Alligator mississippiensis: one gene and its partners. The protein of the gene in region 1 interacts with the protein of each later gene in a biochemical or structural test. Links are inferred from orthologs where the notes say so. Each region holds a gene or a part of one and is shown in the gene's direction. Other genes may lie near its edges. The genes, in order: MAGI3, ADRB2 and ADRB1.

The links.
Region 2: the proteins of MAGI3 (region 1) and ADRB2 form a complex in vitro, tested with the Homo sapiens proteins (2 studies listed by IntAct, with this or other methods). The link is inferred for Alligator mississippiensis from reciprocal best matches to the Homo sapiens genes MAGI3 and ADRB2.
Region 3: the proteins of MAGI3 (region 1) and ADRB1 interact in a test that uses a peptide from one of them, tested with the Homo sapiens proteins (2 studies listed by IntAct, with this or other methods). The link is inferred for Alligator mississippiensis from reciprocal best matches to the Homo sapiens genes MAGI3 and ADRB1.

Annotation. Positions count from the first base shown.
Region 1 is NC_081837.1:45,113,418-45,124,012, forward strand, and holds the start of MAGI3 (membrane-associated guanylate kinase, WW and PDZ domain-containing protein 3), read left to right. Parts: upstream 1-5,419; 5' UTR 5,420-5,516; coding exon 5,517-5,859; intron 5,860-10,595.
Region 2 is NC_081832.1:60,954,850-60,965,543, reverse strand, and holds the start of ADRB2 (beta-2 adrenergic receptor), read left to right. Parts: upstream 1-6,484; 5' UTR 6,485-6,516; coding exon 6,517-7,660; intron 7,661-10,694. UniProt on the Homo sapiens protein: Beta-adrenergic receptors mediate the catecholamine-induced activation of adenylate cyclase through the action of G proteins. The beta-2-adrenergic receptor binds epinephrine with an approximately 30-fold greater affinity than it does norepinephrine.
Region 3 is NC_081829.1:92,300,568-92,310,784, reverse strand, and holds ADRB1 (beta-1 adrenergic receptor), read left to right. Parts: upstream 1-5,798; 5' UTR 5,799-5,914; coding exon 5,915-7,210; 3' UTR 7,211-8,949; downstream 8,950-10,217. UniProt on the Homo sapiens protein: Beta-adrenergic receptors mediate the catecholamine-induced activation of adenylate cyclase through the action of G proteins. This receptor binds epinephrine and norepinephrine with approximately equal affinity.

The DNA of each region.
Region 1 (10,595 bases):
TCCAGAGTCAATGCATTGCAGGACACGGGAACATGCCAGTCTGGAGCTTTCCAATGGTTTCCCTTTCTGGAGGTCCGTTCTCCTTTCTCTCCTAGCCTGGAAACCTGTTAGTCCATCATAGCTGAAGGTAAAGCTACACCCTTTGCTGTCTGGATTATTTCAGAGTAAGGGAACAGAGGCTCAGTGAGGTGAAGCTTGCAGTTTCTTCATGGTTTTTTCCATCAGGGAGTGAGATTTGGGCTCCCAGCAGAAGCTGCCGGGGACCCATTTTCTAAACACACTGCCATGAATCCCTATAGATCATGTCAACTTTGGAAATAAAAGACCAGGGGGATTCTCCAGAGGCCAGGGGCATTGGTGCAAAGATCCCTTTCCTGAGCCTTGCTATGTGACTCACTCTGGACAGCTTCTGCAGAAGTCAGACTTCCTCCCTGTTACTGCTGCCACTCTCCTTGGCACCGGTTGTGGGACGGAGTGGGGTATGTGAAGGTACACATTTCTTGCGGAACCCCACTCAATGTGGACCCGTACTTGAAAGATGCTTGGTAACCTTAACTAACGTCCTGGGAGCTGAAGGTGGCAGCATCTTGCAAGACTGGGCCTTTTGAGGCAAGATTTGGGTCAAAGGAGACTGCGTGGTCCTGTCTTACCATCGTGTTCTGTTCCAGCTGAAGCTGATGGAAGTCTTGCTGTTGCCTTTTGTGGGAACAAAACTGACCTTCTGTATCCTCACTCAGTGACAGGAGCTGCCGCGCTAATTCTTCTCGGAAACCTACCGGGGGTCTCTCTGGTTGTGTTCTGCGTTAGGAAAATATTGTTGCAACAGTCCCAACATATCACCTCCGATCTCCCTTCTCCTTTTCTCTCTGAGAGAACATCTTCACCAGAGTACTAGATATTCACTCTGTGACATATTTTCTGCATTTACCTGAGTTGTACCAAAAGCAAACTTTGTTTCCCTGCCTACCAGAGAGTTGCACTGACTTCAGCCCATTTCTTCCTTTAGTTATGATCTCAGTAAAAGTCTTGACATCTTATTTTTGTGCGATTTGTAGGGTGCTGGATGTGGATAGCTAAAGAAAGATGGCAGCAGGCAGACTATAAGGCGTGCTGGACTGGAGACATTTCTCAACTTTGATGGAGCTTCAGCTCTCTGAGATTTCACGTGTGAGCGCACAGAAAATACATAATTCTTCATGCAGCGATAGATTAAGGTAAGTAATTACAGAAAATGTGTTATTCCCAGTTACCTGTAGGTGAGCTCAAATACTTACTATGTTTGTGAGTTGAAATGAGAGGCAGAGAAGGCATGAATGGTGAAAATTCTTGCTTCAGCATGGCACAAATCAGAATTAAAATTTCCAGCTGGTTCTCTTAAACAGGCTTTAAAGTTTTCATTAGCGCTCTGGAAATGAACTCAGGAAAGCTTTGGCAGCATGCATGAAACTTAAGCTTTGGGGACTTTAACAAGATAGGTTTGTTGAGGACATTGATCTTGGAGAAGCTTTTGGAACTGAAATGTTGACAGCTGTCTTCATGGATACTTGTGAATAAAATAAATCTTTTGCTTAATTCATCATCTGAGATCACTGAATTATTTCCGACTCCTTTGAGGTATAAGTGTCTGTTACGGGCTTATGTGGAAAATCTCTTTGTAGATTACAGAAACTGGCGCAGATTAGACTAGACTAATATTTCCAGAATTTATCCAGTGACTAGATCTCAAAGTCATGCCCTTGTTTTTGAAAATGTTAGGCTGTTTGGTTTTATATATCTCAGTTTAGAGCAAGGAATACAGCTAGTCAGTTATACATGGTCTTTATAATTATACAAATGAGGAAGCTAGTAAAGAGAATGAAAGTCAGAAGTGAGACTATTAACATCTTCATGGATTAGACTCAGCATGGAAGCTATTTAATCATCTGAGAATGGAGTTGGTGTTGCCAGATCTCATAATTTGTGTTGTTCTTAAAACCCTGAGGTCATGTAAATGTATCAGTGTGTCAGCTTTAAGTGGTTTTTTTTTTTTACATTTTGCTTTTCAAAGTGAGTTTCTGGCTCTCCTGGTTTTGGAGAAAAGCTTGAAAATGTGCACCGAGATCAATGCAAATCAAGATGGGGAAATAATGCAAATCTTTTCTAGCTCATCATTTTAATCCACTCCAGGACTTTCCCAGGCTTGATTTTTATGGGGTTTTTTTACCATTTGAAGTTGGTTGCAGTCACCAGTAGCTTACATGCCCCTAAATCAAAAGGGAAGCAGGGCACCAAGGAAAAGGAACCCTCTAGCATTGCTAAATGGGGAGGTTCATGTGAGACGGGGCGCTCACAACTGCAAGGTAACGCACACTGGAATGAATAATTTAACAGCCACTCTAATTTAGAGGAAAATGATCTAGGTATCACTGTGGATGGCCCAATTAAAGCCTCTCCGCAATATGCAGCAGTGATCAAAAAGGTAAACAAAGCATTAGGATGTACAAGGAAAAACTACGAAAAACATTGCTGCTGCTGTTGGGTGGATCTGCTGCGCTCTGCCTGGCAGAGAGGGGGGAAGCCTGGAGAGCAAAGGGTCCAGTTCTGCTTGTGCCAGCTGTGAGACCAGTGGCCAGGTGATGGCAGCCCCCCTCCTGGCTGCCCTGCCTGGAAGATGGACTGCAGGGTTACAGGGAGAGGCCGCCCTGCAAACGAGCCTGGCCGGGAGCACGTGCTCCAGAGAGAAGCCAGACTCCCTTGCAGGAGGCTGTGGAGAGAATGGCACCTTGGGAGGGAAGAGGGACAAACCGTGTCCTTCACTGAGCAGGGGATGAAGGGTTTCAGACTAGGAGGGCCCAGGGACCCATACGCTTACTTTGTGCAATAGCAACATGAACCAGACTCTACCCCTCTTCCCCCAGGGCTGGGTGGGAGGTCAACGAAATGCCAGGGTTTGTGTGAGGGGAGCGGGCGGGGTGGATGGCAGGGTCCTGCCCTGGGGCAGCCCATGCTGGACCTCACCCTGCAACGCAACACCCGTGTCTGGAAGGCAGTGTTCAGGGCTGGCCACTCCTCTGACAACAGAAACAGAATGGCACCAGGGGTTGGGGGCTAAAACCAGAGACTCGGATCAAAGCCTTCCACAGTGAGGTGTGGGAGGCAGGGACAAAACGGAGAGATACGTAAATTAGTGAATGGTGCTGATTAGAGAAAGTAAATTAAACTCTCCTATTTCCTTTCCCCGAGAAGAAAAAAATGATGCAACTGAAGGATTTGATAAAAATTGAACTGTTTTATTGAACCATTGTAAAATTCAATATATAATTAACCTGTGCAAGGCATTGGCAAAAGGTGTGAAGACCTTCTAGGTTCCCTAGAGGACTGGACATGCATCCTTCTGGGCGACCAGAGCTATACTGAGGCAGGCTAGCACGCTAGCTGCAGCCGCCCAGCACTTTTGAATGTCACGCTGCATCCATTAAGGTGCCACCGTGTAGACTTAAGAGTATGACCTCAGTTTTTAAAATTTTGGCCAATGAGAAGATCCAGTTACATTTAATAGGATAAGAGAGATTTTTACGAGGGCTATAAACACTTTTTTGTTTCAAGGGTATAGACCAACTACCACCCTCGACTTGGAAAGAAATTTCCTCTAATGAACTGCCCATAATGTCTGTGCGTTACGGTTTGCTGTGCCTTCCTTTGAAGCATTTGGCACAAGCCAAGGCCAGAGAGAGGCTACTGGGATGGCTGGACTATTGATTTAGTCTGGTGTGGCAAGTCTACGTGAAATGCTAAATTTTGGATTCAAATGGATTCGACAATGTCCCTTTTACTGTCCAGGATGCCTAACACCACAAAGCCTCCAGCCTTCTCACTCGCATTCTGCAAGCGTAAAAGAAAATTTAGATCATTTTGAGTTATTTTCACGTCTGTTGGCAGGTAGCCAAGTACACTTCAAATGGCACCGCATGTAATGAGTCCGATCCATCCCTGGCAGAGCTCCATTAACACGAACGGAGCCACAATCATATTTTCACCAATATGATCAGCTGGAGGCCAGTTAATGTCTCCCTAGCCACTCGTGTAACTTTTAAATGATATCCTCCCTTCTGCCGGCTGCCCTTCCAAAATCCCTTTGTCCCGAGATTCAAATGCCACTAATTTTTTTGTTAAAGTCCCTATTTTTGGCAGTAATTACCATATGACCTATAGGAGATACGGGCCGGTGGAGATAAAGACGTGCAGAAGCCACAGGAAACCCACAGCAAAGCGTCGTATCCGTTTGTTAGAGGTGAAAGTTTGCGGTGATTTCTGAACGAGAAAATTAGCTGCCTTTTACGGTTCTGCACAGATGTTAATTATGGGGGAAAGTTCAGCGTGCAAAGCTGGTATTTCTAGTCTCTGTTATTGTGGAGATGGCCAAGAGTATCAGGAAACAAATAAATGATTGTGACGTAGAGCAAGGGCCAGAGGTGGGCCGTTTCCTTGTGTGCGAAGGAACACGCGTACGTATCTCAGCTATGTAAGGTCACACCTCGCACCCTCCCCGCTTCCGCTTTGATTGCCTTGTGTACAGAAGAGCTTCAGAAACGATTGTGCTGGATTCCTTGAGCTGCGGGCTGAACGGGCACGGTCCTGTGGCCAGCCTCGAGGCAAGGCGGTCGCCTTCCCCTTCCCAGAGCAAGCCGGCCCGCCTCGCAGGGTTGAGGCAGGGACGGCCCTCGGCTTCGCAGCAAGAAATGCAGTTTCTGGGGGACCGCGCGCGAGGGCCTGTATCGGACCGGTCGGGCGCGCTGAAGCAGAAGGCTCTCTAGGGATTATTTTTCAAGTTGACATCTAGGGTTCGGCGTGAGCCTTGCCAACATCAGTAGGTGTTCGGGAGTTGTCCTGACTCCCCCCAGCCTCGAGACTGGAGGGCGGGAGCCCGAGGGCCGCCCCAGCCTCCCGGCGGGCCGCGCGTACCTGTCAGCACCCGTTCAGGTGGCATTTCCCCACGCGGAGGGAAAGGGTGCCACTGCCGCGTGGCCCCGCACGAGGTCAAGGGCAGCAGGCTGCAGCTCCTGCTTTGCAGCGGGCGGGCGGGCGGGCCGGGCCGGGCCGCACGGCGGCGAGGACGGGCTGGCTCTGAGCAGGGTTGTTGCGCGCTCTGCTCTCCCGTGCGGTCTCCAGCGATTGGGGCCCGGGACGTCGGGAGGCAGAGGCCGTGCCCCGTGCCCCGGGGAAGAGCGACCCCAGCCCGTGGTTCGTGTTAAACCCACCTGCCCCTTGATTGATTGATTGATAGATTGATCAATCTCCCCCCGCGCTGCGCTGCGCCGTGTCCCACAAGCGGGCGGGCAGACACACGTGCGCGGCGCGGCGCGGCGGGGCGGGGCGGGGCGGGGGGAGGCGTGACGTCAGGGGGCGGGGCGTGCCGGGGGCGGGGCGGGGCGGGGCCGGGCAGTCGGTTGCTGGGCGGTTGGTGTGTGGGGTCGGGTCGCGTCGCGTCGCGTCGGGCTGGGCCGGGCCGGGCCGGCTCGGGAGCCCCATGCGGCGGCATGTCCAAGACGCTGCGCCGGCGGCGGCACTGGCTGAGCAAGGTGCAGGAGTGCGTGGTGTCCTGGGCGCCGCCGCCCGACCCCGGCTCCGGCTCCGGCCCCGGCCCCGAGCTGCTGCGCGGCGGCGCCGAGCGCGGAGAGTTCCCCTACCTGGGCGCCCGCCTGGCCGAGCCCGGCCCCGGCCCCGGCCCCGGCCCCGCGCTGCTCTCCGGCAAGCCGCCCAGCCCCGGGGACGTGCTGCTGGAGGTGAACGGCACCCCGGTGAGCGGCCTCACGCACCGCGACACGCTGGCCGTCATCCGCCACTTCAGGGAGCCCGTGCGCCTCAAGACCGTGCGCCCAGGTGAGCCCCCCCGCGCCCCGCCGCCGCCGCCCTCACCACCGGCCAGCGGCTGGAGCGGCCCTGCCTGCGTCCTCGAGACTATGGGGAAACTGAGGCTGTCGCAGCGAGCGGCGCCCGCATTGCTGCTGGCACTTGGAGGGCCAAGTTTGCTCTCCCAGGCGCGGGGCTGGGGACAGCCCTTGCCTCCGCCTGGGGGGTCACTCGCTCTGGTTGGCACGGGAGCTTGTGGCCGAGCAAACCCGTCCTGGCGGGGGGCCCTCCTGCGAAACTCGGCTTCCGCCGCTGCGTCCGACCTGCAGCTCCCCACGCTGCGAAGTTGGCACGAGTAACTTGGCTTTGACGTCCCGCTCCCGCGGCTCTGCTGCGCCCCCTCTCCAGAGCGCTGCGGGGGCCGGTGGCCGGCGCCTGGCACGCGAGGCGCGCGCGGGAAACTTGTGCCGTGCGAGGCGGTGGCGCTGGGCGGGCGGGGAGCGGAGATGGGCCCCTCCAGGGTGGCTGTCAGCTTTATGTGGACCCACAGATTGTCCGCACGGGCCTTGTAAAATGTGTGGCAGGAGTTGAGGCCGGGGGGAGGCTTGTGGCAATAGAGATAAGAGTATTTATTCCGAATAGGTTCTTTCCTTCTAAACTCGGTGGAGGAAAGATGGTGAGGGTAAAAGCAGCACAGAGAGAACCAGCATGTTTTGGTTTTTTTTCCAGGCATCCTGCCATTTTTGGATGAAGTAGGACTTGCCCTTTGCAGAGCGTTAGTCCTGACAGACCTGTTAAAAATGCTTGCCCTGTGGTCGCCTGCTACAGAAACGAGTCTGATGGAAAGCTTTGGTCTTGCAGCGAAGGGTTGCCCTCCCACGGTTGTTTTATAGCTTCGGCATTAAGATTTCGTTCTTTTGTTCTGCTTAGGATATTTCCTGTCCGCTCTGTCTTCAGATCGTTTGGTGTTGTGCTGCGTCCTGATGCGAGCATTGTAGCTCATCTAAACATCCGTGTGTCACGGTGAATAATTTCTAGTTGCAACCGCTGAAATGCGGGGTGTGCATGTGATGTGTGTAAGGTGGCTTGGCACTTCCAAGCGAATGTTTCCTGCAGCCGCAAGAGGCATCGGAAAGGATTGTAGTCCCTTGACTGAAGGCAGAGGTGGGTATTTCTAAAGGCAAGGCTCTCTGGGTTTTGGCCCCAGTCGCATCTCTTAGTGGATTAACATCTATATAATCTTAAAATCCAGTAACGCTACAAACAGGTCTCTCAAAGAAGCTCAAAAAGATAAGAAATGAAGCGTGTGTGCTGGCTGTGTGTAAAACATTGGGACTGACTAGGAATGAAATGGCAGATGTCCCCAGGGCAAGCAGGAGATTCTGCACTGTGCTGATTAATTTTGAACCACTTTGATAAATATGGATTCTGAATTTAAGAAGGGATATGCTACTTTTCCTTTTTATCTGAGATTTACATGGCAAATGGGATTTTTTTCAGTTTTTTAATTAGGCTATTGTCAGATAAACTAAGCACTTTACCTTGCATCTATAGTGAGCAGGACTACACAGCAGTTTTAATACCAGAGCTTAACCTTTGGGGCATTGTGATGGCGGGGTAGTGATTATTCCCGGGCTATAATATGTGCATACAGGTGTAAAGGTACATAACATATGGCTGTACAAATCGGGGTGAAACTGTCAAAGAGAATCGCTTGCAGTAAAGGTAGATTTAAAGGAACTTGCCGATGAATCTCTCTCTCTCTCTTTCCTGCTCACTTTTCCCATCAAGTGGGTTTTTGTTTTTCTGGTGTGTGAGACATGAAAATGGTTAGGGACTCTGATTTCTGTGGAAGTTAATCGCGCTCTATTTGATAGCTCAGTGTCACAGAGTTCTGAAATACAATTTCTGAAAGTTATCTCCGTAGTGATGTTCGCTGCTTATTTGAAGCGGGTGAAATCACAGTGGTCAGATGATATCCTGGCTTTGTCCGTGGTCAGGACTGATGTAAATGATGCAACGTTCTTGGAATTCCTCATCACTGTTTCAAAGCAATTCCTTTATTTCCCAAAGAAAACTCAGCTTCTGTTCAGAGAATGGGATTAATTCAAGTGTACTATAATTAGCCAGCACTATCAAATCATTCCAGTAAAGTCCTCTTTACCAGCATGCATCTCAAATGTCAAGTTCATGCTAAATAGTGTTACCTGCAATCACACAGACTAATGATTCACAATTTTCAATCTGAAGCTAATTACAGCTTCTCCAGTTCTGCACAGCGCGGGTGTGAACTTGACAAAGTTTAAACAAGTATTAATAATCGCGAATTTTCTCTTCGATTATTTTTCGGTGAATCCAGAGCTGTAGTGTGGCAGTAGACGGTCATAGCAATACTGACATCTTCCATCTGTGGGACTGCAGCAGTTAGTCATGGATGCTAAGCACGCTGCTTACACAGCCACCACATGTAAACGCTGCCCTGGGTCAGATGTGTTTTCTTCGTTCGGAGGTTAGCTGTATCTCTGCTTTACAGTTTTGGAGCAAATCAAACTTGGAACTAAGTTTTTTTATCCTAAAACATGTTGCAAAGTTAAATGTGCTGTGGATTAAAGAGAATTTTGGCAACTTGGTGTTGGTTTGCTTTTTATAAGGCAGCAGTTTAAAGCATTCCCCTCCCCCTGCGAAATATTGCCATAGTTGCATTCAGTGCCAGTGCTTCAGCAAGAGCTGCCTCCAAGTTGCCAAGGCATTCATTCTCTTTGAGTGCCTTGTGACTTGGAAATCGCCTTCCTTTCCATCCCTGGTGAAGTGAAAGGTCCACGTTTGCTGAGCTTCAGAACACCGCACAATGCGTTGGTTTGCACTACTGTGCGGGGATGCTTGAGTCCTGGGCCGCGGGACGTGCAGCGATCTTGCAGTGGCGCTGGGATGAGGAAGGCTGCTTTGGTTTTGGTGAGGTTGGCTCTGCTTCGCTGCTGCTGCATTTTGTTTTTATATGGACTGTGATTTTAATGATCCATCACGGCATCTTGTCCTTTGGAAGGCATTTTGTTTGTGGTCAAATAAAGGAAAAACAGGCACAAAATTGATTTAAATAACACAACAGAGCAATAGGGGAAAGTTACTTAATACTCCATTTTCCTTAAAATGCAAAATGGGCCTTTACAAATCAAAGTACACGGAACTGGAGAGCGTCTGTTGTAGGCCTTGCCATGTACTTGCACTCAGGTGCTGTCGGAGCAGGAGGGGAAGGGTGTTCCAAAGTTCAGTTGTATGTGCTGAGCGTGTCCTGACCTTGGCCTCCTGACATTGAGTCACCTGTCAGCATGTTTCTTAATTGTTTAGTGTCTGTACAGCCTCTGTGTTGAATAGTTGCCTCCGTCTTAGTCAATACTGTAGTGCAGTTGCGGTCTCACGTGGGTGTTTCAGTGGCCTTTAGCAGCAGATCAGTGGGCTGGACTTGCTTTGCACCAGTGATGAAACATGACTCTTCATTAAGGAAAACAGCATCTTTATTTGATAGCAATGAAATCAGCATCTGCGATGCTTGTAGCTAGCTTGGCAGTGGATCTACAATAAAGATTTCAAGATGCAGCTTAGGTCTGTTGAGAAAAACACTTGAAAGATTTGAATGCCAGTTGTTAACTACATATCGCAAGGAATGGCCTGTTTCACTGATGGAGAACTGTCCCCCATTCATAGTTGCCAATGAAAACATGCCTAATATTTTGTTGTCTCTAGGTACAAGTTCAGGACCTCCTGCTTTGCATACGTCTGTGTTGCAACACTGCTGTAACTTCAGGGAATGAGCCAGCTTTAAATGAGCTCGCTTGTCTACTAGTAGCAGCCTGGCCAGCTCAGGCTTCAAAATCACCCTGAGAAGCTGAGTAAATCCTCAGGTAGCTAGCACCTGTGCAGAGCTCTGTGCTCCTTGACGGTGCTTTTGGGCGTTTGTTACACTGCAGCTAGCGCGAACCCGCTGACGTGCAGCTCCAGATCTTTGGTAACAGACCGAAGGTGAGGACGCCGTTTCCGGTGAGGTAAAAATACTGAAGCACTCCTTGTCAAATGTACTGGACTGGACATGACCCATGCCTTACATTCTACATAAATATTTCTTAACATGGTGACTTCAAGCTAATTCCTAATGTGCAGATGTCCATATGATAAGAGTCAGGCCAAGGCCCAGTGGGCCATAGACATCAAACAGTTCTGTCCTTAATGCAAAGTGAGCTCTCGCATTGAGGCACGGCTGGTGGCAAGGTATGTGGTTGAAGTTTTGCGTGGTGCTGATTGTGCTCTTGCCTTTGAAGGGAGGAATGGAGGAGATAAGCCTCCAGTGCAGTGCAGCTGACCACTTCAGTACTAAATTCTGTTAAAAGTTAGTTTACTGTCTACTGTTGGCTTCATCTTTATTTACTGCAATATTTAGGCAGGAACTGAGCCCTTCTGCCAGTGCGCTTCCACTGGCACGAAACGATACAGGCGATTAGAGTAGTAGCTTACTAGCCAGTGGTGTCTCCAGGTAGGCTGTAAGCAAATGTAAGGTCCTAAAATAGGGCGGATTAATGAACATGCGCAAAATCCTCAGCTCAGAGTTTGCGTAGCACGACTGCAGGGATTCTCTTCTGCTCCTTCCAGAGGACAACGCTAGCAAAGCCACGGCACCACGACTGTTGCAGCTTCAGGGCCGCAGGGTTGCTGCCTCTCCATCCTGGAAACAAGCATGCTACATCCAGCCATTTCCCTCCAGCCTCCCATAGCAC
Region 2 (10,694 bases), on another chromosome or scaffold:
ACTTGCTATCCAGGCAGAGGTCCTGTCATTTGGACACCCCCTATAAGAAATTAAACCTTAATTCTGCAATTCTGAGGCTTCTAATGTTGGAGGGTTTGGCTGAAAAAAAATAAAAATCTTGAAAGTTAATAATTACTGAAAGCATGGCTATTGCTGCAATTTCACCTTTACCTAAGCCAAGTTTTTGGTTATGGAATTTATCTCTGCATGGGGCCAATCTCTGCCCTTATACAGAACCCAAACACTGTTTGAGTGGGAGTATGTGGGTGCACACTTGAGCTCAGGATGAGTAGGCTCAATCCTGTAAAGCCTGAACATGGAAACAAAGATTACTCCGGTAAGGAGAGATTGCAGAGGCCTTAGATTGCACCTGAGGCCTCTGAAGGTTGTACTTTGATGAGTCCAGTGGTACAGGCCTAATCCTTCTGAAATAAATTGAAGCTTGTCCACTGACTTCTCTTAAGCCAGAATTCCACCCCAGGTATAGATTTCATAGATTTCATAGACATTAGGGGCTAAAAGGGACCTTGTGAGATCATTGAGTCCAGCCCCCCTGCCAGAGGCAGGAAGTCTGCAGGAATCAGATGATCCCAGCAAGATCCAAATGCCTTTTGAATGAGTCCAGAGTAGGTGCCTGCACCACCTCTGGGGGAGCCTGCTCCAGACCTTGGACCCTCAGACTATAAAGAAGTTTTTCCGTATATCGAGTCTGAATCGGCCTTCCAGAAGTTTGTGGCTGTTAGACCTAGTTATCCCTTGGGAGCCCTGGTGAACAACTGTTCTCCCAGATTCTGATGCACCTCCTTTATATACTTATAGACAGCCACCAAGTCCCCCTTGAGCCTTCTCTTTACCAGGCTGAAGAGTCCCATGTCCCTCAGCCTCTTCTTGTAAGGCTTGCTCTCTTGGCCTTTGATCATATGGGTGGCTCTCCTCTGAACTCTCTCAAGCTTATCCACATCCCTCCTGAACTCGGGGGCCCAAAACTGGATGCAGTACTTCAGCTGTGGCCTCACTAAAGCCAAGTAAAGTGAGAGGATGACATCCCTGGTTTTGCTCAAGATGCATTGGTAGATGTATGCCAGTTTGGTTTGCTCTGCTGGCCATGACATTGCATTGGGGGTCATGCTTATCTTGTGGTCAATCAAGACCCCCAAGTCCCTTTTGGTCATGGTGCTAGTGAGCGTACCATCACCAAGCCTATAAATATGATGCTATTTTTTTCTCCCAGGGTGGAGTACCCTGCATTTCTCTACATTGAATGCCATCAGGTTTTGGTCTGCCTACTTTGCAGGTGTGTCCAGGTCAGCCTGGATCCCCAGCCTGTTCTCTAGCATGACCGCCTTCCCCAATAGTGTCATCCACAAACTTTGCCAGTCCACATCTGATGCCCAAATCCAGGTTGTTAATGAAGATATTGAAGAGTACTAAGAGCACTGAGCTCTGGGGGATTCCACTGGTGACCTTGTGCCACACATTGATTTATTCCCATCAACTAGTACTCTTTGGGTCCTACCCCAGAGCCAGTTCCCCAGCCATTGGACCATGAGATGGTCGAGGCCAAAGTTCCCCAGCTTGGTCGTGAGAACATCATGGGAGACCGAGCCAAAGGCCTTCTTGAAGTCCAGATAAATGACATCAACCTCATCTCCCTTGTCTAGGCAATGCGTCACCTGGTCATAGAAGGAGATGAGGTTGATCAGGCAAGACCTTCCAGTATTAAACCATGTTGGCTGGCATTCAGTAGGTTGCCTTCCATTAGCCTGGTGCAGATGGATCCCTTGTACTTTTCCCTTTGTCCCTGAATTTGCTATAGAAATGTTGAATTCGAAACTTTGGTGAAAGGTAAAGCAGGAGAGATGTTGCTCTGATTTATGCTCCTGGCACTGTTGGCATAAATAAGGTCATTTGCACTGGCCCAGAATCTAGTGTAGGAAACTCAAATCTCTGCTGGGAGTCTCTGCCTGGTTTCAGCGGTCCTCCCTAATGGACAAGAAAATCCAGCCTTTTATTTCTTAACATTGTAATTAACTCTTTCAAAGATTGGGCTGGGGATAACCAACAACATCTGTGTTTTCATATTAGCAAAGCTGATTATGAGCAAGTTAATAGCTTGGATGAGCTCTGGATAATTTGTAAAATGGACTATCTTTGTACAAGAACTCAAAGGGCTGTCATTATAAAGATGTAAATCCCACAAATCAAATAGAGCACTAATAACTTACTGTTGTACCTCATTCCCATCAGGGACATAGCTCTGTGTGTTAGCAGGTCCCTGGGCTTCGGGAAAATCTTCCTTTTTCCCCACTTCTCCATCTTACTTTATTAACCATACGAGTGGTTCATAGTGAATACAAATGAGCAAAGACAGATTACATCAAGGTTTTAGATGAGCTGGTCATTTTCTCCACCCTGACTAATAGACAGCCCTGAAGTACACTGTGGAGGTTCATGGTGGGTCAGTATCTGGAAGGTGTGTGAGTTTTTGTGCATGCATGACACATAGCCAGAGCTGATGTTGCATTGTTCAACTGGCAAACTCAGCACGGGCAAGCCCTGCTCCTCCCATTCCCCCACCCCAGTTGGTGTTTTCCAGGTCTCCAGTCTCTTTTCAAGATGTAATACTTCTTGCAAGTGATACCATATATATCTAGATTTTAATATAGGGGGTGCTTCAGGATGTGAAGTCATCTGCTTTCTGAACTCTCAGAGTTCTGTCTAAACACCACAATCAGCAGCGACACAGTGAAAATTAAAGGAATTCCCTTCTTCAGTCACAAAAAATATATATCTTAATTCCATTTTTGATCAGCTCTCAAGAAAGAATGAACAGGTAAACGAGGTGCCATAACTTGTCCCTTCTTACTGTGCTTTCTGCTTTCCTTCCCCATGTTGCCTGCAGGTCCTTATCTCTTCTCAAACATTGCCTAGTCAACAATCCCTCTTTCCCAATCATTTCCTTTGGTGTTTCCACTTCAAGGTGTGTGGCTTTTGGGCATGGGAGGGGTGGATATATGTGCAAAGGAGAGATGGAATGTGCAAGCCATTAAAGTGTCTCAAAGCAAGTAAATGGAGCTGTGTTAAGCAATTATGGGCCAGATCCTTCACTGACCTAGATTAGCACAACTCAGTTTAAGTCAGTGTACCTATGCCGATTTACCCTTGCTAGGAACAGCTGTAACTATAGATACAGGTTTATTAGAGCACAAACGCTTTACCCAACCTCCAGTTAATTGAAACTCATGGTTTATCAAAGGTCATTTCTGTTCCCTAGTGCAACCTGCAGCCTGCTTTGCTTAGTCAATCCTCATTCTTTCTGAAGGCTTTTGGTATTTGCAGGGAAAACAAGGGCTGTGTATATCATCTATTTTATGTTTTTAAATTTGTTTATTTTCATAAAGTTAAGGATTGTGAAGGCTGGGCAGACAGTGGTATTCAGGAACAGGGCAAGAAATGTATGCAGAAATGAGGCTTCTCCTGCTTCAGGGGAAATAAACTGGCCCAACATGGAAAATACCTAGTGATTGACATTGCTTTTAACCTTATTTCCTGTTTCAAAAGTTCAGTGAAGTTCAGCTGAACAAAACCTGTACCTGATGCTGCAAATACTTGCAGTCCTTCATACATCCCCCACCCTTTCTTAAGCCACAAAACTTCCTTCAACATACACAGTTGTGCTCTATAAATAAAATCTTCGGGCCTATTACATACACCAGGAGTAGCACTGACATGAAATGGGACACCTAGTGGATTCAAAGCAGCAAGTTCTGAGATGCTTGCTCTGATCACTACCCCTCAGAGAAAGTGAGAAGAACAAGCAGAGCAGAGTAACTGTTGGCAAGTTTACTTTGCTAATGGGAACATCTGGGATATTTACTGCTTTTGCATTTAATTTCCTATTAGGAATAGAAAAACGAGGCACACTCTTGAAAACCACTGAATCTTTACTGTCCTGAGAACTTTAGAGTGTGATTTAACATTAATAATCCTTCAGAAATCTGAAGAACAATCAGAAGCCCTCTGCCTCCGGGCCATTTTAGTCATAACAATACTTGCATTTCCCTGTTACCTTTCATCTAAAAAGCTGAACAAACCCTGTACCTGATGCTGCAAATACTTGCAGTCCTTCATATGCTAGTTCTGTGGATGACATCATGGGGATTGTTTGTGAGGAAGGGACTGCTTTTGTGCCTAAGAGCATGAATATACCAACAGCATCACCACCACGCAGCCATGGATAATGGATACACAGCATGGCTGTGGACAGAAATGAAATTTTGGGCTGTGACACCATTGTGAGTCCTTTCTGTGCCCTGGGATCTTTAATGACCATGCAAATCACAGCCCTGAGACTTGGAAGACAAGCCCAAAAGACCTCACGCCTTGCAGGAAATTTAATTTAGTTGTGAAAAATGCAGGGCTGAGACAGTATGGTTTTATTCTAAAAAAACCCAGCAAAAATGAAACATAAAGCAGCAGCATTCTTTTCAGTCAGGTTACAAGAAGCTTGGCACCATCTTTATTCCCTAGTTAGCCGATTCTTTGCTTCTGGGGAAAATACTTTTAAAAGTTAAATGAACAGATTAACTATGTCTGGCTTCAGCATGGTGAAGCAGAGTGCACTGGAGTTATATGATCACAAATATTCCTAATAGCATTGGTGTCCTGAATACTCAGGAAATCACTGAGTACATTGTGTCAGGGCCATATTTTACTGTGGCTAGGTCGCTGCTGTAATTGTGAACAGCTGTGTGTGGACAACAATGCTTTCAAGCTGATTAGAGAAAAGGCAACTGACCCTATGTACACACTCCGAGTTATGTAAATTAAAAGTTTAACTTCTCATTTAAGGTCTTTTGAAAATCTAATGTACAGGCAGATAAGGCAGGTACAACCTGTATTACAAATTCTGGTCTGAGGAAAAAGACCTAAAAATAGATGCTATTAGGTAGCAAAAGTCCATAAAAATGCCTTCTTCTCCTTGACTTAAAAAAAAACCTAGAACTCTTGGTTCCAAAATGATATCTTTTATGAGACCAACTGGAAAATGGCAAGAAAATTGTCTTTTTTCTTGCTATTTTCCAGTTGGTCTAATAAAAGGTATCATTTTGGAACCAAGAGTTCTAGTTTTTTGTATGTCTTTTTGTCTCAGACCAACACAGCTACCAAGTACACCCTTCTTCTCCTTGATGCTTTTCAAGAGTCAAAAGATCCCCTTTATGCTCACCAGAAATCCAGAAATTGTACATCACAGCACAAGCTAAGGAAGGATAAGGTCCTTCTAGTACCATTAGTGGCCTCAGGATGAGCTGAGTTGCCCTACAGTAAATTTAAAAGGCTACATGGTTCCCAAAGTATCTGAAGACTCTGTCAGAGCACTCGCCCTTACCCAAACAAAGTGGCTGAGATACTGGCCTCACCTTTCTTGATTCCTCCATACACTTCTGCCAGCGTTCAGTCTAAGCCACCTGCTTGTTTGGCAAATCTGCTGGGGGGGGGCACTGCAGATCCCATCTTGGTCTTACCAGGCCCTGGGAGCTGCAGCCTCCTTGTACACTGGATCCTTGCACATGCTTCTAAAGCAGGAATTGCACAATACTGAAGGGACCCATGTGAGCTCTCCCTCACTTTGAGAGGGGTCACACTGAAATCAGCAGGACTCTCGGAGAAGTGTCCTGATTTCTGGGGGGAGCGGGGGGACGGGTAGGACAGGTTCTGCACCTGTCTTCTTGTGGGGCTTCTGATTATTTGCCCAGTCCCTAAGCTAGGCATTTCATTTAGCCTCCACTTTCCTCCTGAGGAAGGAAGTTTACACTCACTTTCTGATCCGACTCCAGGGATCATGTGCTAAATTCAGACCTGCAGTTAAAAGGGAGGGTGTGGCCGGCTAAAGGCTGCAACTAGAGGAACTAGATCTACCCGCGCCACTCGGTTGGCCCGAGGAGGGAGCTGCGCCGCGCTTCGCTGCACCTGGCGACTGGGTCGAGCCGTCAGACACGGTCCGAGGGCGAGGGAGGGAAGGAGCAGCTGCCGCCTCCCCCCGGCTGAGGGGTCCCGGGCAGATCGAGAGCCCCGGGCTGAGTCGAGCGCTCGCCTCCGCCCGAGCCCGCAGCGGGGAAGTGATCGCGCCCATCCCGCTCCACGCAGCAGCGCCGGATCTGAGACCCGGCCGGCAGCAGCGATCCGCCCCGCTCCGCCCAACCCAGGCCAGCCGGGGGCAGCTGCCGCGCCGTACCGGGAGCTCTGCTCGGAGCGGGTCCCCGCGCGGGACAGCGGGCGCCGCGCTGCGGTCCCCGCTCAGAACGCTCGAGTCGGCTTGCGTGTCCCGCCGGCCTCCCATTGGCTGCGCCCTTTGTGATGTCACGCCCGGCTGTTCTATAAGCTGCCTGGCACATAACGGACTCGGGACACTTGGCTGCTGCCCGGACGGGGCGGGCGGGCGGGCGGCAGGGCTGGGGTTGGGGCTGGGGCTGGAGCTGGCCTGCCCTGGCCGGAGCCCGGCGGCAGCGAGGAGCCATGGCGTCGGCGCGGAACGCCAGCGGGCTGGACAGCGCGAACAGCACCACGCTGTCGGGGGACGTGTGGATGGTGGGCATGGGCGTGCTCATGTCGCTCATCGTGCTGGCCATCGTCTTCGGCAACGTGCTGGTGATCACGGCCATCGCGCGCTTCCAGCGCCTGCAGACGGTCACCAACTGCTTCATCACGTCGCTGGCTTGCGCCGACCTGGTGATGGGGCTGGCCGTGGTGCCCTTCGGCGCCAGCCACATCATGCTGCAGATGTGGCAGTTCGGCAACTTCTGGTGCGAGTTCTGGACGTCGCTGGACGTGCTGTGCGTGACGGCCAGCATCGAGACCTTGTGCGTCATCGCCGTGGACCGCTACTTCGCCATCACCTCGCCCTTCAAGTACCAGAGCCTGCTGACCAAGGGCAAGGCCCGCGTAGTCATCCTCGTGGTGTGGCTGGTGTCAGCGCTCACCTCCTTCCTGCCCATCCACATGCACTGGTATCAGGCGGAAAGCCGGGAGGCCCTGGACTGCTACGAGAAGGCCACGTGCTGCTACTTCTTCACCAACCAGGCCTACGCCATCGCCTCCTCCATCATCTCCTTCTACCTGCCCTTGGTGGTCATGGTCTTCGTCTACGCCCGGGTCTTCCAGGTGGCCAAGCAGCAGCTGAAGAAGATCGACAGGTTCCACGTCCAGGGCTGCCAGCAGCCCGAGCACAGCGGCCGGCCGGGCCGGCGCGCCTCCAAGTTCTGCCTCAAGGAGCACAAAGCCCTGAAGACCCTGGGCATCATCATGGGCACCTTCACGCTGTGCTGGCTGCCCTTCTTCATCGTCAACATCGTGCACGTCATCCAGGACAACATCATCCCCAATTACCTGTACACCCTCCTCAACTGGCTGGGCTATGTCAATTCCGCTTTCAACCCGCTCATCTACTGCCGCAGCCCGGACTTCAGGTTCGCCTTCCAGGAGCTGCTGTGCCTGCGCCGCTCCGCCCTCAAGCTCTACGCCAATGGATACTCCAACAGCAACGGCAGGAGCGACTTCCACGAGGAGGACAACGGCTACCACTCGGGGCCGGATAAGCCTTGCGAGCTGCTGTGCGAGGGAGGTGCCGTCGCGGCCACAGGAGGCTTGTTGCACTGTCAAGGTACTGTGCCCAATGGTCGCCCCGAGCCCCCGGGGGTCAACCCTAGCACCCAGGTGTCCGTGTTGTAGGGCTCGGCCTTCCTTAGGGGCGAAAAGGCACCCGGCGACGTGGCGGCCAGAGGACGGCCGGGAGGTGCCTGCCCGGGGTGTGCGGATGCACAAACGCTGTAGCAAGGACCTATTTATAGGCGCGCCGGGGGGTTATTTTAAGCCTGTTGTAGCAGGCTCATCCCAGGAGGAACGGGTGACTTTTGTGGTGTCCTTGTCACTGTGTTGATCTACCTCAGAGCTCTGGTTAGAACCATCATCTTCATCTTCATCTTCACCGTGGCCTGAACCGCGGAGCTGCCTCCTCTCTGGGGCTGGGCATCGGGTCGGAGGCCTGCCCGTCCCTTCCCCTCCCCCTCCCCCTCCCCAGCGCTGCGGATGCTCTTAGCCGCGGACTAAATACAAAGTTGCGCTGACAACTTTTTTTAAGCGACGCTTTTCTGGTTCACTTCCTCCCCACGCCCGCGCCCGGTCTCACGAAGGGCAGATCAGCTGGGGGAGACTGAGGGGAGGGCTGGAGAAGTGCTCCACGCCTCCCTCGTGGGCTCCGGCAGCCCGGGGGCGGTGCGCGGGGCAGGGGCAGCGCGGAGAAGGCGTCTTTCCGGCCGCCCATCGCCTGTCCGAGGGCGCGGGGGTCCGAAGGCTTCCGACAGCCACGTCCGTGGCCCCCCCCGGCTGCACTAAACACTTGGCGGGGTGTTTTGTTTTTCTCTTCCCCTTGCTCTCCCTGTTGCCCCGGGCTCGGGCAGCCCGGGGGGCTGGGCTGGGCCATGCGGCGGGGGCTGGCAGGACATGATGTACAGACGTGCTGGGCGACAGTGCATCGCGATCAGCACTGCCAGGGCGGCCCTCGGGTCTTCCCTCTGCCCTCCTGCCAGCTCTTGAAGTGCTGCATCTCGGCTCCCGGCCCGGCGGGGGGACGCGCGAGGTCCGGGCTCGGCGGGGCTGCGCGGGGCTGTCAGAGGGAAGCTGATGCTCAGACGCACGCGGACAGGTGCGGGGGGGGGGCGGGGGGAGAGCAGCGACACGGGCCCTTCTCAGATCGGCAGTGGCAGGAAGCGATCAACGACCCCTCGTGCTCTGAAGGGCTGCAAAGAGCGGGGAGTGCAGGGTGCTGCCCAGCTTCGGGGGGAGCAGGCAGGGCAGCGACCCTCGGCCCTCGCTGTGCAGGGTGTCAGCCTGCCCCCTGGCTCCTGGGCCGTGCGGGCTGGGCCGTTCCCGTGTTGCTGCTCTGCTGTTTCACTAGTGCCCCCAGCCTGGGCCAGGGAACTTCCCCCGCTGTCAGCTTGGCTTGAGTAGGCAGCCCCTGCTCACTGCCGGCATCCTGCTGAGGGCAGGGGGCTCTGAGTCTGTTGCCCAGACCCGAGGGGCTCCTAGGAATCCTACCATGGGGGGGAAATCTCAAGCAGGAATGAACAAAATACCAGGGATGCGGCTGGCAGTCTGCTCAATGCTGCTGCCAAGGGGCTGGAAGGACAAAGCTCTCTGCACGGGAGCATCCAGTGCTGCGATTCTCAGGGGTATTGCCAGTGGATTGAAGAGGGACCACTTGCTGCAAAGTCAGACAAGCAGCTGCTGCAGAGCATGGGTTATCTTCTCCCTTTGTTCTTATTGCACTGCCTTACTTCTGGGACACAGGGTAGTTTCTCAGTAGCTTCCTGGGCACTCAGCAGCTGCTAGGGCTAAGATCATCCTAGGCTTTACCATTTCCAGTGAGGACAGCTACAGAGACTGTCACTGGAAGAGCTGGCCTGCAGCAAGCTGTGTGCACCTCCATCAGAAATCTGCAGGTGACTCCTATTCAGACTAGGGCTGTGGTTTGATCTGACAGCTGCAAGCCAGATGCAATGGATGGATATCCCAGGTAGTGTCCATGTGGCCCACACATTAATTGGCTGGGACCATAATGGGGGAAACCTCCCCTGGCCACACTGATTCAATCTTTGGTGAATTTCCCTTGTGTACATTGCTCTGCCAAAACATGCCCTCCTTTTTCACCTCTCTCCAAGCATCTTGTTCAACAGCTGGGAAGAACAAGTAGCTCTGTTGCCTTTTTTTCAATTGTCTGCTTAATCTTGTCAACTTTGTGCATGGTCAATTTGGGAATTAAATTGTGCAGTGAGCAAAGCAGTTACTGAGGTAATAGAAAAGCCCTATTGGAGAACAAAATGCCTGGGGAACCTTTTTTGGCAACTTTTCCTGCACTTGGAGAGTGAGGAAAAGGGAAGAGCAGTTGTAACCAAGGGAAAGACTTGCAGGATCTTTGGTGCTGCAGGAGATTGGAGACGTGGGCATAAGATACTGACATCCTGTCTTCTGTAGGTTTGCCATTGTCTTTATGGGACAAGGATATAAGAGAGAAAGTAGGCACCATGTGACACAAGGGAGTATGAGTTTCTATGGACAGATCACTGCAGTCCCAGCACTTGGGCGGCTGCATTGCTCTGCACAATATGTCTGCAGTATGCCTACCATATGCATGCTGAAAGCAGTGTCACTGGCTCATATCTTTTTGGCCACTGAAAATATTGACTTTGGCTCCTCTAAAGCATGTGTGTGCATGGAAAGCTAAGGAGCTCTCGTGTGTATTAGTCAAGTCTCCTTTAAAAATGTAGCAAGTGGAATATAAAATGATGGCAACAAAATTCATACAAAAGATGCCTGGCATTTCTTTAAAATGCATGGCACATTCCAATATGGAGAAACATGAAAATAACCAGGCATCACCCATTTTTGCTCTTAGAGGCCAGTTTGCCATTGTCCTGCACTTTGGGTAGTTATCTGCACCTGTATAAAGGAGGGTCAGTACTACCATCCCAATCTAATAATGCTTTACACCCCCTTGCAATTACTCTACACTGATAAAAGCGATGGTACAAAGTGCATGGCAGTAGTGAATGAATTGCAGAATCAAATCTGAACTATATAGGCTCATGTAGACATAAAGGTTTGTCTTAGCTGTTGGCTTTCAGGGGAGGACATGTTGA
Region 3 (10,217 bases), on another chromosome or scaffold:
GAGCATCCTGGGCTTTGTGGCTGGCAGCAGCTGCCTAGAGCCCAGGCTGGTGGTGGCATGCCGAGCAAAATGGCCTTGTGTGCTGCACTCAGCACACGTGCCGGGGGTTGCTGACCCCTGGTCTGAGCAAAGAGAATTCTACTGCTTTCTTGGCAATCTAATAGATTTGACCTTCAGGAAACTGTTTCTGATAATCATACTGAACTTTCCTTTTCATCACATTATCTCTCATTAGGTCTCTTGGTATAATTCGTCTATTCTAAATAATTCCTTTCCCACCCACTCCTTGGTATTTTTTTTTTATGCTTCACATATTTATACATTAGGGAATTACAAGGTCATTGCTTAGTTAAAATAGTCTCCTTGTCTCTTCTCATATATTAATCCCAAGTTCCCTTTAATAGTTGATATTGATCTTCTCTGAACCTCATCTAATATATCATTATCTTTTCAATAGGGAAGTGCACAGACCTAAACATATTTCTCGTGATTTTGTGCTCACTTGCAGCAGAGAAGCCAGGAGCAAATCTATACAAACCAATAGAGATACACTGTTGGAAACCTGGTGTAACTGGCTGCGTCTACACGAGACACTAACTGTGCAGTAGCATCATGTGGCAGGAAGCATGATGCACAGTCATCATCACAAAAAAGTCATTCCTTGGTGTGACTGCACAGTAACTCTGGTTACTACACAGTCGTTTAGTACTTGTTTATATACTGCAACTGTACATCCAGCATCTTGTGTAGACACAGCCACTGAGAAGACTTGAATCAGGTCCATCATTACCAAGTCTTGTGATTTCCTTGGGGGTAGAGCTGTCCAGCAGATAATAATTTCATTCTGTGACAACTTTAAAGGATTCACAATTAAACCTTTAGAATATGTCCACAAAAGTAATTTTGCTGAAGAATCTTTTTTTTTCTATAAAAACCTGAGCTATCTTTTTAAGTTTGGTCCGTCTGTCTGTCTCTTTCTCTCTCCTTTTTTTTTCTCTTTGTCTCTCACTCTCTTTTTCTTTCTCTGCCGCCATTCAGAAATGTCAGGACAGCCCTAAAAAAAACTTCCCCAGCAAAATCTTTGTTCGGCTTCCACAAAACCATGTGTTTAGACAAAAGTTCATTATGTCAAAATGTTCTGACCAGCTGTACCCACAAGTACTGAAATTTTGTTCATGGCTAGAGAAAGACTGGCAGGTGGGAATTTCAGCCCTCCTTGAAAGGAGGACACTGTTATTCTTAAGGGCTGTTATGGGACTCTGGGAGAGCCATTGGCTCCGACAGTTCTGGATCCTGCATGATCTGGAGAACTGGTTTGGATAAGCAGGGCTACAAATTCAGGAACAGAGAAGGGACAACAGAGGTCTGGCTAGATGAAAAGGCAATCTGTCTCTCTTCCCACTGAAAAGACACTTAGGTAGCTGTGCATACTGACATAGGTACTAGCTGAGGGTATTAACTTTAGAAGCTAGACCTACCAGACCATCCTCACAGGCTGTTTAGCAGGGGAAAGAACGAATCAATTAATGTGCTGAGGTCTGAGGGAGAGCTGGAAACCCGGCACCAACGGGCAGCCAGAGAGAGCTCCTGCAGCCAGCTGGGTTGGAAACACATTACTTAATACACTGGGAAATCTGACAACAACACCCAGCAAGTCACTCAAAGTCCCACAACCTAGTCACTCCAAGCCTTTTCTTAGGTAAATCCACTAAAAGCCACAGATTGTCAGGACTAATCCTGCCATCACTGAGCTAAAACTTTTACTGGTTTTAATAGGTTCAGGATCAAGCCAATAAAGAGGATCTGCTCCTGCCCACCTCCATGGTGTGTATCATGCAAACTCACGCAGTGCGAACTTGAATCTAATATTCAGCATCTTTTTGCACTCCCTTAGCATTGCTTCTCTCTGTGCCGATGCAAATACCACACCCGTACTTCAGCCCCTTCTTCTCCCTCAGTTCTGCCTTCCTATTTGTTTTACTTGTTGAGCAGTCAGCATTATGATACACACCTGTACACAACAAAGCCCTGATGCTGCAAGCCGCTGTCTGTGTGGTAGTCATGTGCCTGCTCAAAGCCCCCTTGAAGTCTGTGGGACTCTGTATAGAGCAGCGCAAAGGATCTGGGTCTAAAACCCTACACAGAAGCCCTTGCAGTCCCTGACACATTCCAGCTCTGAAGTTTGTTTCAACTCAGCCTCTCCAGTGCAGTACGATTTGGAATTCCTTCTGGGTCCATCTGTTATCCTCTGTGGGTGTGTTGGATAACCAATCTATTCTAATTAGTATTGAAGCTTCTTGTTAAAAAAAAACAATGACTTCCAGGAAAAAATAGATTACTGCTTCAATAAAAAATGTGACCTGGAGCACAGGCAGAAACAATCCATTTCAGACTTTGGAACTCACTCCTCTTGACCTGACATCCTTAAATAATTTGCACACAAAGAGGTGCTAGCAAAACCACATTCAAATGCACAAAAATCAGGAAACTTAGAGTTAAAGGTGATCTGCAGAGGTGTCGTTTGGAAGATGAGTTAACCCTACAGTTATCAGCTGCATGCACACAGGGATGCTCAGCAGATAAATTCTTCAGCTAACCTTTGGTTCTTCCTTTTTAGACAACCCCAAAGTCAGGCTGGTTCCAGCTCTGACATGACGTTGCAGAATTACGCCTGTTGTGACAGGAAAATTATTCTAGGCCTTCTGATTAATTATGTAGCCTTGGGCAATTCACTTAACTTCTCTGGCCCTTAAACTTCAAAGCTTCTTCAAAGACAGAGAGACAATCAAGGGGTTACAATCCCATGTTAATTTTATTAGGTAAAGACCTTAATTCAGTAAAAATACCCTGGGGATGACAGATGGATGGAAATGCAGGAAAAGTGTCCAAAGGCATGATTTGTACCCCTCACAACTGCCTGTGTGATCTTGGGCAAGTCACTAAAGGTTGGATTTTCTAAACTATCCACGATCTTCAGATGTCTCCATTTTTTGAGAAGATCCAGCCAGCAGGACTTCAGGAAGCCCCTAAAATGATATACCTGATATGTTGAATACCTCTCTGTCCTGGCTTGTGCGGGCAACCAAGGCTTAGCTGTAGGATAAATTGTCTAATAACAAAATCTTTTGCAAGTCACATTTATAGTAGTTCACTGTAGAAGTCCACTCTTATCTAGCTCTGTGTTGGTTCCTTCTGGTAGAGACTCAGGACTGACAGAAAGGATGGATTCCTGTTCCTGCGGGGATCACAGCTGAGGATTGACTGACAACCTCCTGACAAATATCGTCAGACCCTTTCCTTAGTTGGTTCAGCCACAATCCACACCTAGCAGTGTTCACATAGTTCTTCAAGGTGAGGAGCATCCACCTCTCCCTGTCCAAGAGAGTCACTTCATGCATTGGAGGGCTGAGCTCTCTAGGCTCAGACTTCTTCTTCTCATGTCTCTACATCACATTTAACCATTTTTTTACACATGCTTGTGCTTGTTTATTGTACTTTGCAAGCTCTTTCATTGCACATGTGCCTTCAAGCAGTGGGCATTACAGCAGGCATTGCCTAGTCTGAAGCTCTGTGACAGTTACAGGTGGTCGAACCAATGTTATAGCCTCACTTCTTCATTAGTTCCTGGGAACATGCGACTCTGGTACGTAGGCAGTTGAGACATCGCCACCTTTGCCACTGTTCATCAGCCCCCGATGGTAAGGACTTAGCTGCTGGAGTGTACATTTTTTCATTGTCAGCTATTTTCTTCAGCCTCTCGTTCCACATCTGTAGTTGTGTCTTACTGAGTGTGGCATCGAGAGTGTGGGCGCTGATGAGAAAGCTCCTGCATGACTTCAGACATTTGTGTGCTGTGGGATGGTCATACAGTGGGTGTCTCGCATCTTCTGTTTGCCTCGATCGTTCTATCCCACTGGCTCAGACTGGAAAAGATCAAGTAATGAAGCAAAGTTCACTAGGGAATAGTTTAAGCAGCAGGTCCAAACTGATGGAGCCTGTAATCAGGGTTAAACAAACAGTATGTAAATAAACACATAATTCACTCCGGGGTTGCAACCTTGTATACCGAGTCTGAACCTGGCAGGGAATGGTAAGGTCAAACCGGAACAATGACACAGCCTTTGCAGAATAAATATATGTGGGAAAAAAGGATTCCCTCTTATTGCTCCCAGCTAGTATGAGATGGGGTATTGATGTAAGCCCCAGGCATGGATGTAATCCTGTGATACTAAAAAGTAAAGGGGAGAGAACTCATTTTCATTTCTCTTTGCCAGTACAAAGGCAATTTAAAGTAAGAGTAAATAAGCCTTACATCCATCTAAGGCCACACCTGATAACAGAGCAGCGTGAAGGGCTGCACATGTAAATAAGAGTCAAGCCCATGTGTTTTAAGCCGTTTCAGTGGATGTAGCTGTGCAAAGGGCTGCAATCCTTGTACAGTCTCTTATGCAGCTATGCTGTCACCGGAGCAACACATTTACTGCACACGGAAACTTTTTATGGTTATTAACAAATGATAACGTTGCACCTCAAACGTCTGTAGCTATCGATGGGGTTTGGCCGGGGCGGGTAAAAGTTCTGAGCTGCACATTACGGCTGGGATAACAGGCACAGAAAGATTTGTCCCAAGCAAAGCCAGCAACAGAAGCCAAGTCCTCTGACTCCCAGCCTTAGGAATGACACAGTGGCTGAATCTGGAACCCCCGGGGAAGCCAGAACAAACAGGACTTGTGATGGGGAGATACGCAGGGCTTGGGAAGCACGGATCCATCCCCCACCGGGCAGCGTACACTTGCACAGTTGTCAATATTGCCTACAGGCCATGGCAACTGTTGCTGGCTTCCAGTGCTAAGGTTTTAAATCCAGCACATGCAGCGAGATCCCCTGCCCCATCCCCGCGGGCTGCGGTGAGAGCGGCGGCGCCTGCTGCCTCTTGGTCACTTCTCCCTGCCGAGCAGCAGGGCTGGGGCAGGCCTGAAGCCCCCTTGATACATCTGTCTCCGGCGGGAGAACTTCTCCCTCCCTTCTCCTCCTTGCGTCTCGGCAAGGAAACAAATGCAACTCTTCGAGGAAGACGAAAGGCGCTCTGTTTTTAGCACAGAATGTTACTTTCTGGCCCAATAAGGCTGGCCACGTCACAGGCGTCTCCATCCTCAAGGTACCCAGCAGGCAGACAAGGCTCTTCGGGTAAAACCAGTTACCTTCCATTAGACCAACTCAGTAGTTGGAACAACAATTTCTTAGCAAGCTTTCGGGTTTAAAAACCCTTTGTCCGGCTGAGGAAGTGTGCGCTCTTCCAGCAGGCATTAAACACCAGAATGGGCTTTCCGGGCTCGGAAATTAAACGCTAAAACGGGCTTTACCTGCTCACGTCCGCACAGCCTAAGACCTACAGAGGAGAAGAGCGCGAACCCGGCGCAGCGTTTCGGGGCAGTGATGCCAGCAGCTGCCCTGGGCCCTCGGCAAGCGAGCGGGGAGCCCCCAGGACGCCGGCCCTCCGCTCCCTCACCCCCAAGAAGGGCGTTTGTGGCCGGAAGCATTGCAATTAAGAACTTTTTTATTTTAGTTTATTTTATTTTATTTGCACAAATCTGGCGGGTCTCAGACAAGACACCGCCCGCGCCCCGCGCCCCGCGCAATCCCCCCCCCCCACGACGGGTGCGGTGGCAGGGGGCCGCCCACGTGCGGGCGCCGCGGGGGTGTGTCCGCGCCGCGCGCCCATTGGCCGCCGAGCAGTGACGCGCGGCGCGGGGGTGTCGCGGCGCGGGAGCCGCGGGAGCGCACAACCATGCTGCAGCCCGGCCGCGGCGGCCGCTCCGCTCCGGCTCCGGCTCCGGCTCCGGCTGCGGCTGCTGCAGGGCGGGCGCCCCGGCTGGTCTTCATGCCCCCGGCGCGGCTGCCCTGAGCGGACAGCATGGGCGATGGCTGGCTGCCCCCGGACTGCCAGCCGCACAACAGGTCCGGCTCGCCGCCGCCCGCGCCCCCCGGCAGCGTCTCCCCGCCGCCGTCCTCGCCCGGCGGCCGGCACGAGCTGCTGTCGCAGCAGTGGACGGCGGGCATGGGCCTGCTGATGGTGCTGGTGGTGCTGCTGATCGTGGCGGGCAACGTGCTGGTGATCGCGGCCATCCGGCGCACGCAGCGGCTGCAGACGCTGACCAACCTGTTCATCACCTCGCTGGCCTGCGCCGACCTGGTGATGGGCTTGCTGGTGGTGCCCTTCGGGGCCACGCAGGTGGTGCAGGGCCGCTGGGTCTGGGGCTCCTTCCTGTGCGAGTGCTGGACCTCGCTGGACGTGCTGTGCGTGACGGCCAGCATCGAGACCCTGTGCGTCATCGCCATCGACCGCTACCTGGCCATCACCTGGCCCTTCCGCTACCAGAGCCTCATGACCAAGGGTCGGGCCAAGGGCATCATCTGCACCGTCTGGGGCATCTCCGCTCTGGTCTCCTTCCTGCCCATCATGATGCACTGGTGGCGGGATGAGGATCCCCAGGCTCTGGATTGCTACCAGGACCCCGGCTGCTGCGACTTCGTCACCAACAGGGCCTACGCCATCGCCTCCTCCATCATCTCCTTCTACATCCCTCTGCTCATCATGATCTTTGTCTACATCAGGGTGTACAGAGAGGCCAAGGAGCAGATCAAGAAGATCGACCGATGCGAGGGTAGGTTCCACAACAACCACCACCACCAGCCTCCTGCCCAGGGCCACGCTCACCACCAGCCCATTCTGGGCAACGGCAGGGCCAGCAAGAGGAAGAGCTCCCGGATCATGGCCATGAGGGAGCAGAAAGCCCTCAAGACCTTGGGTATCATCATGGGAATCTTCACTCTGTGCTGGCTTCCTTTCTTCCTGGTCAACGTGGTCAACGTCTTCAACAGGGACCTGGTGCCAGACCAGCTCTTTGTCTTCTTCAACTGGCTGGGATATGCCAACTCTGCTTTCAACCCCATCATCTACTGTCGCAGCCCTGACTTCCGCAAGGCTTTCAAGAGGCTGCTTTGCTGCCCCAGGAAAGCCGACAGGAGGCTGCACGCCAGCGGTGAGGAGCTCTCCCGGTTCCCAGGGAGTTTCATCAATACTTTGGGCACCCCCGAGCGCAGCCTAGGAGGGATGTGGTCCGACTGCAATGGGGGTACGCAGGGAGGCAGCGACTCCAGCCTGGAGGAGAGGAATAGCAAAACCTCCTATTCGGAATCCAAGGTATAAGGACGGTGGGAGGTGGCACTGGGGGACACCCTGGACACTGAGCACGAAGAAAGCCAGCCAGGGAATAAGTGAGAGGAAAAAAATATCAGGAGTCTGGTTAAGCAAACAAACACCAAACAAAACCAATCTCTGTCTCACTGGGGAGAAAATCTGTGTTTACTTAAGACTAAAAGCAGGTGAACTTGTATGCAACATACCTCATCTGATGTTAGAGGAAGCCGCTGACCACTGAACAAAGGAAATTGAAAGCTGTCTCAAGCTCATTTTTTTTAAATTTTCTAACAGGGAGTTAGGTGGCAACAGGCATTTTGAAAGGGAATAAGAAAATATCCTTTACTCAGTTAAGCTGCTCTAAGAGCTGCACTTGCAGTAGAGCCCGATCCTGAAGTATTGGGAGTTTAGCCACTGACTTCACTGTAGCCAGGATCACGCTGTATTTAACCTTGCTTTCAAGCTGAGGACTATAAACTCTCCCTGCCCCTACTCTTGGTGGCTGCAGTTCTTGTTTCACACACAGGTAAAAAAGCAGTCTGATTTTAACAAGTGCTGCCTGCACACAGCCCTGTTGAAGTTAGTGGGAACTGCAGGTGATCAGCACTTTTTGCAAATCAGGCTTAACAGTCCTTTATAAAAGTGTGTCTGTCATCTGGCAAGTTTTATTTTAAACTTCAGGTAGCTGCGTTCCCCTGTTTTTTAAAGTAAAGATGAAGGGAAAAAAATTAACTAATGAAGAATATTGATATACTTGTATTTTGAACAGAGCTTTTCTGATTTTTATCTTCTGCATCAGCAACCGGTTGACTTCTTATGCTTATCTTCTCTTGCCAGACAATACCAATCAGGCTGGGAAACTTTCTACCTCAAACTGTGCATATTGTACAGGGGAATAAAAAGACATGTTTATATTAAACAGCTTATTTATGTATTGATATTATTATTTTCTAAAAAGAGGCAGTGAGCCTTCTGCAATTTGTTCATTGTAATTGAAGATGAACAGTAAAAAAATAAATAAATCCTGGCAACAAAAAAAATTTACTGCACATAAAAAAAATGGCAACAGAGCCATTTTTGCACAGTGTTAAGAATCGTAAAATTAATTGAAGATGTTCCTTGCACAAAAAAAAATTAAAAATAAAACGGGGGTTCAAATATCATCAAACCTGAAAAAAATTCTTTCTGCTCTTGTCTAATATGTTACATTTCTATTGAGAGAGTGACTTTTTATATTATTTTATCAAGGTACTGTAAATGCATCCGTATTATAAATTAAAATATCTTAAGGGTCTTTTATTATTATTTTAATATTTTATGTCCAAGTGCCCACGTGAATCTGCTGTTATTTTAGCACTTGCGTGTCATTTCCATTTTCCTCCTGTGTGTGTTTTATAAGGTATTTATACTCTGGTGCAATTTACTACTGTGTAAGTAATTGGTCTATGTGCAATAAATAACATTGCAGCACAAACAAGCATATATGTACAGCGTGTCTCTATAGGTTCTGAAACAGTACCCAGCTATAATGGAAAGAACAGAGTTTTGTTTTTCTCAAAATATGGATCAAATTACCAATACTCTCCCACCTAATGGCTTTCCCTGACAAAATATTGTTTAAAAAAAAGTGTTCTAGACCAAATAAGGTTGTGTTTTCTGTTGCGTTAAGGGCTGCCGACTTCCCTCAAAAATTAATGGCCAAAGACAAGGTGTTTCCAGCCTGATAATAAACATAGTCATTTTCTTTAGCCTGTTGGCTCTCCTGATCTTTTTGTTGTATTAGTAGACCAGGAGTCAGGGGATTTATTATTGAAAAATAGAATAAAATGGTTTTGTATTGGATTTGAAAACTGAAAACTGTTGCTAATAGATTATGCAGTGGCTCTCTCATGGTGAAATCAATGATACTCTTAAAATAACTTCACTGGATGCAGACAGAGCTTGAAGTCCATATTCAGCGAAGCCAGCTCTTTCCCACCGAAATCATTGGGAATCTACGCTGATTTCAGTAAAAGGGAGATTATGCCCTGTATCGGGAGATGTAATAAGAAGTTTGTGATCCCTTGAAAAAATATGCCAGGCTTTCATTCTACATTACTGAAAAAAGTGTCTTCAGAAAATAGCACTACATATTTGATCCCTTCATTTCTTGATATCAATTAAAGCCAAAGGCAGTTGTCATTGACTTTAATGGGTGCAAGATCAGGCCCTGTAAAGTGTTTTTCACACTGCGTATCAGTTCCGCACAAAACCCCAGTCACATATCTATAGATTAAAGAACTAATTATATAGCGAGAAAAGCAATATGGCACTCGGCAGCAATATTTTCCCTAGCTATAGATTCCTTTAGGGCTGGATCCTGTTACCCTCACACACTGTGCAGTGCCCTGCTGACACAGGTACCCCCGTGGACTCCAAACAAACCATGATGAAGTGCCGAGAGGGCATGGGTGGCAGACTCTAATCCTTAATGCAAATCCTGAATGTAGAACTCCGTGACAATACTGTCTCCCATTATTGTCATGAAGGTATGTTTTATTATGATAGATTCAGAGAATTTTTCATGACTGCAACTTGTCATGGCATATAAAGCACCAAAAAGCCAGACGGCTGGGTATCGTAAAACACCTCCTTGATGTCATGCACAGAATAAAAGTGAAGCCATTTTTAGCTTTATTATACTCAACAATATAGTTGAGTTAGAAATCATGTCCCAGTGAGAAGAGTTCTGAAAGTCAGTTCTGCAAGAAATAGGCCAAGCTCTCTCTTAAATAAACAGTTTACTCCATTTTTAAAAGCTGAAGATTTTTTAATTCTGTTTTTAACATTACATTTTAGGGATAAAAACATAGAGACATTTTTTACACATAACCAAATTGAAAGGTCCTTTGAAGTCACTGGTTGTTTTGCCATTGGTTGCACTGGGGTTAGGGTTTGAACTACAGTTAATTATTTCTGCTCCAATAGAAGTGAAATAGGCTTCCTAAATGCCAAGGTGAAGCCAGGGCAGTTGCCA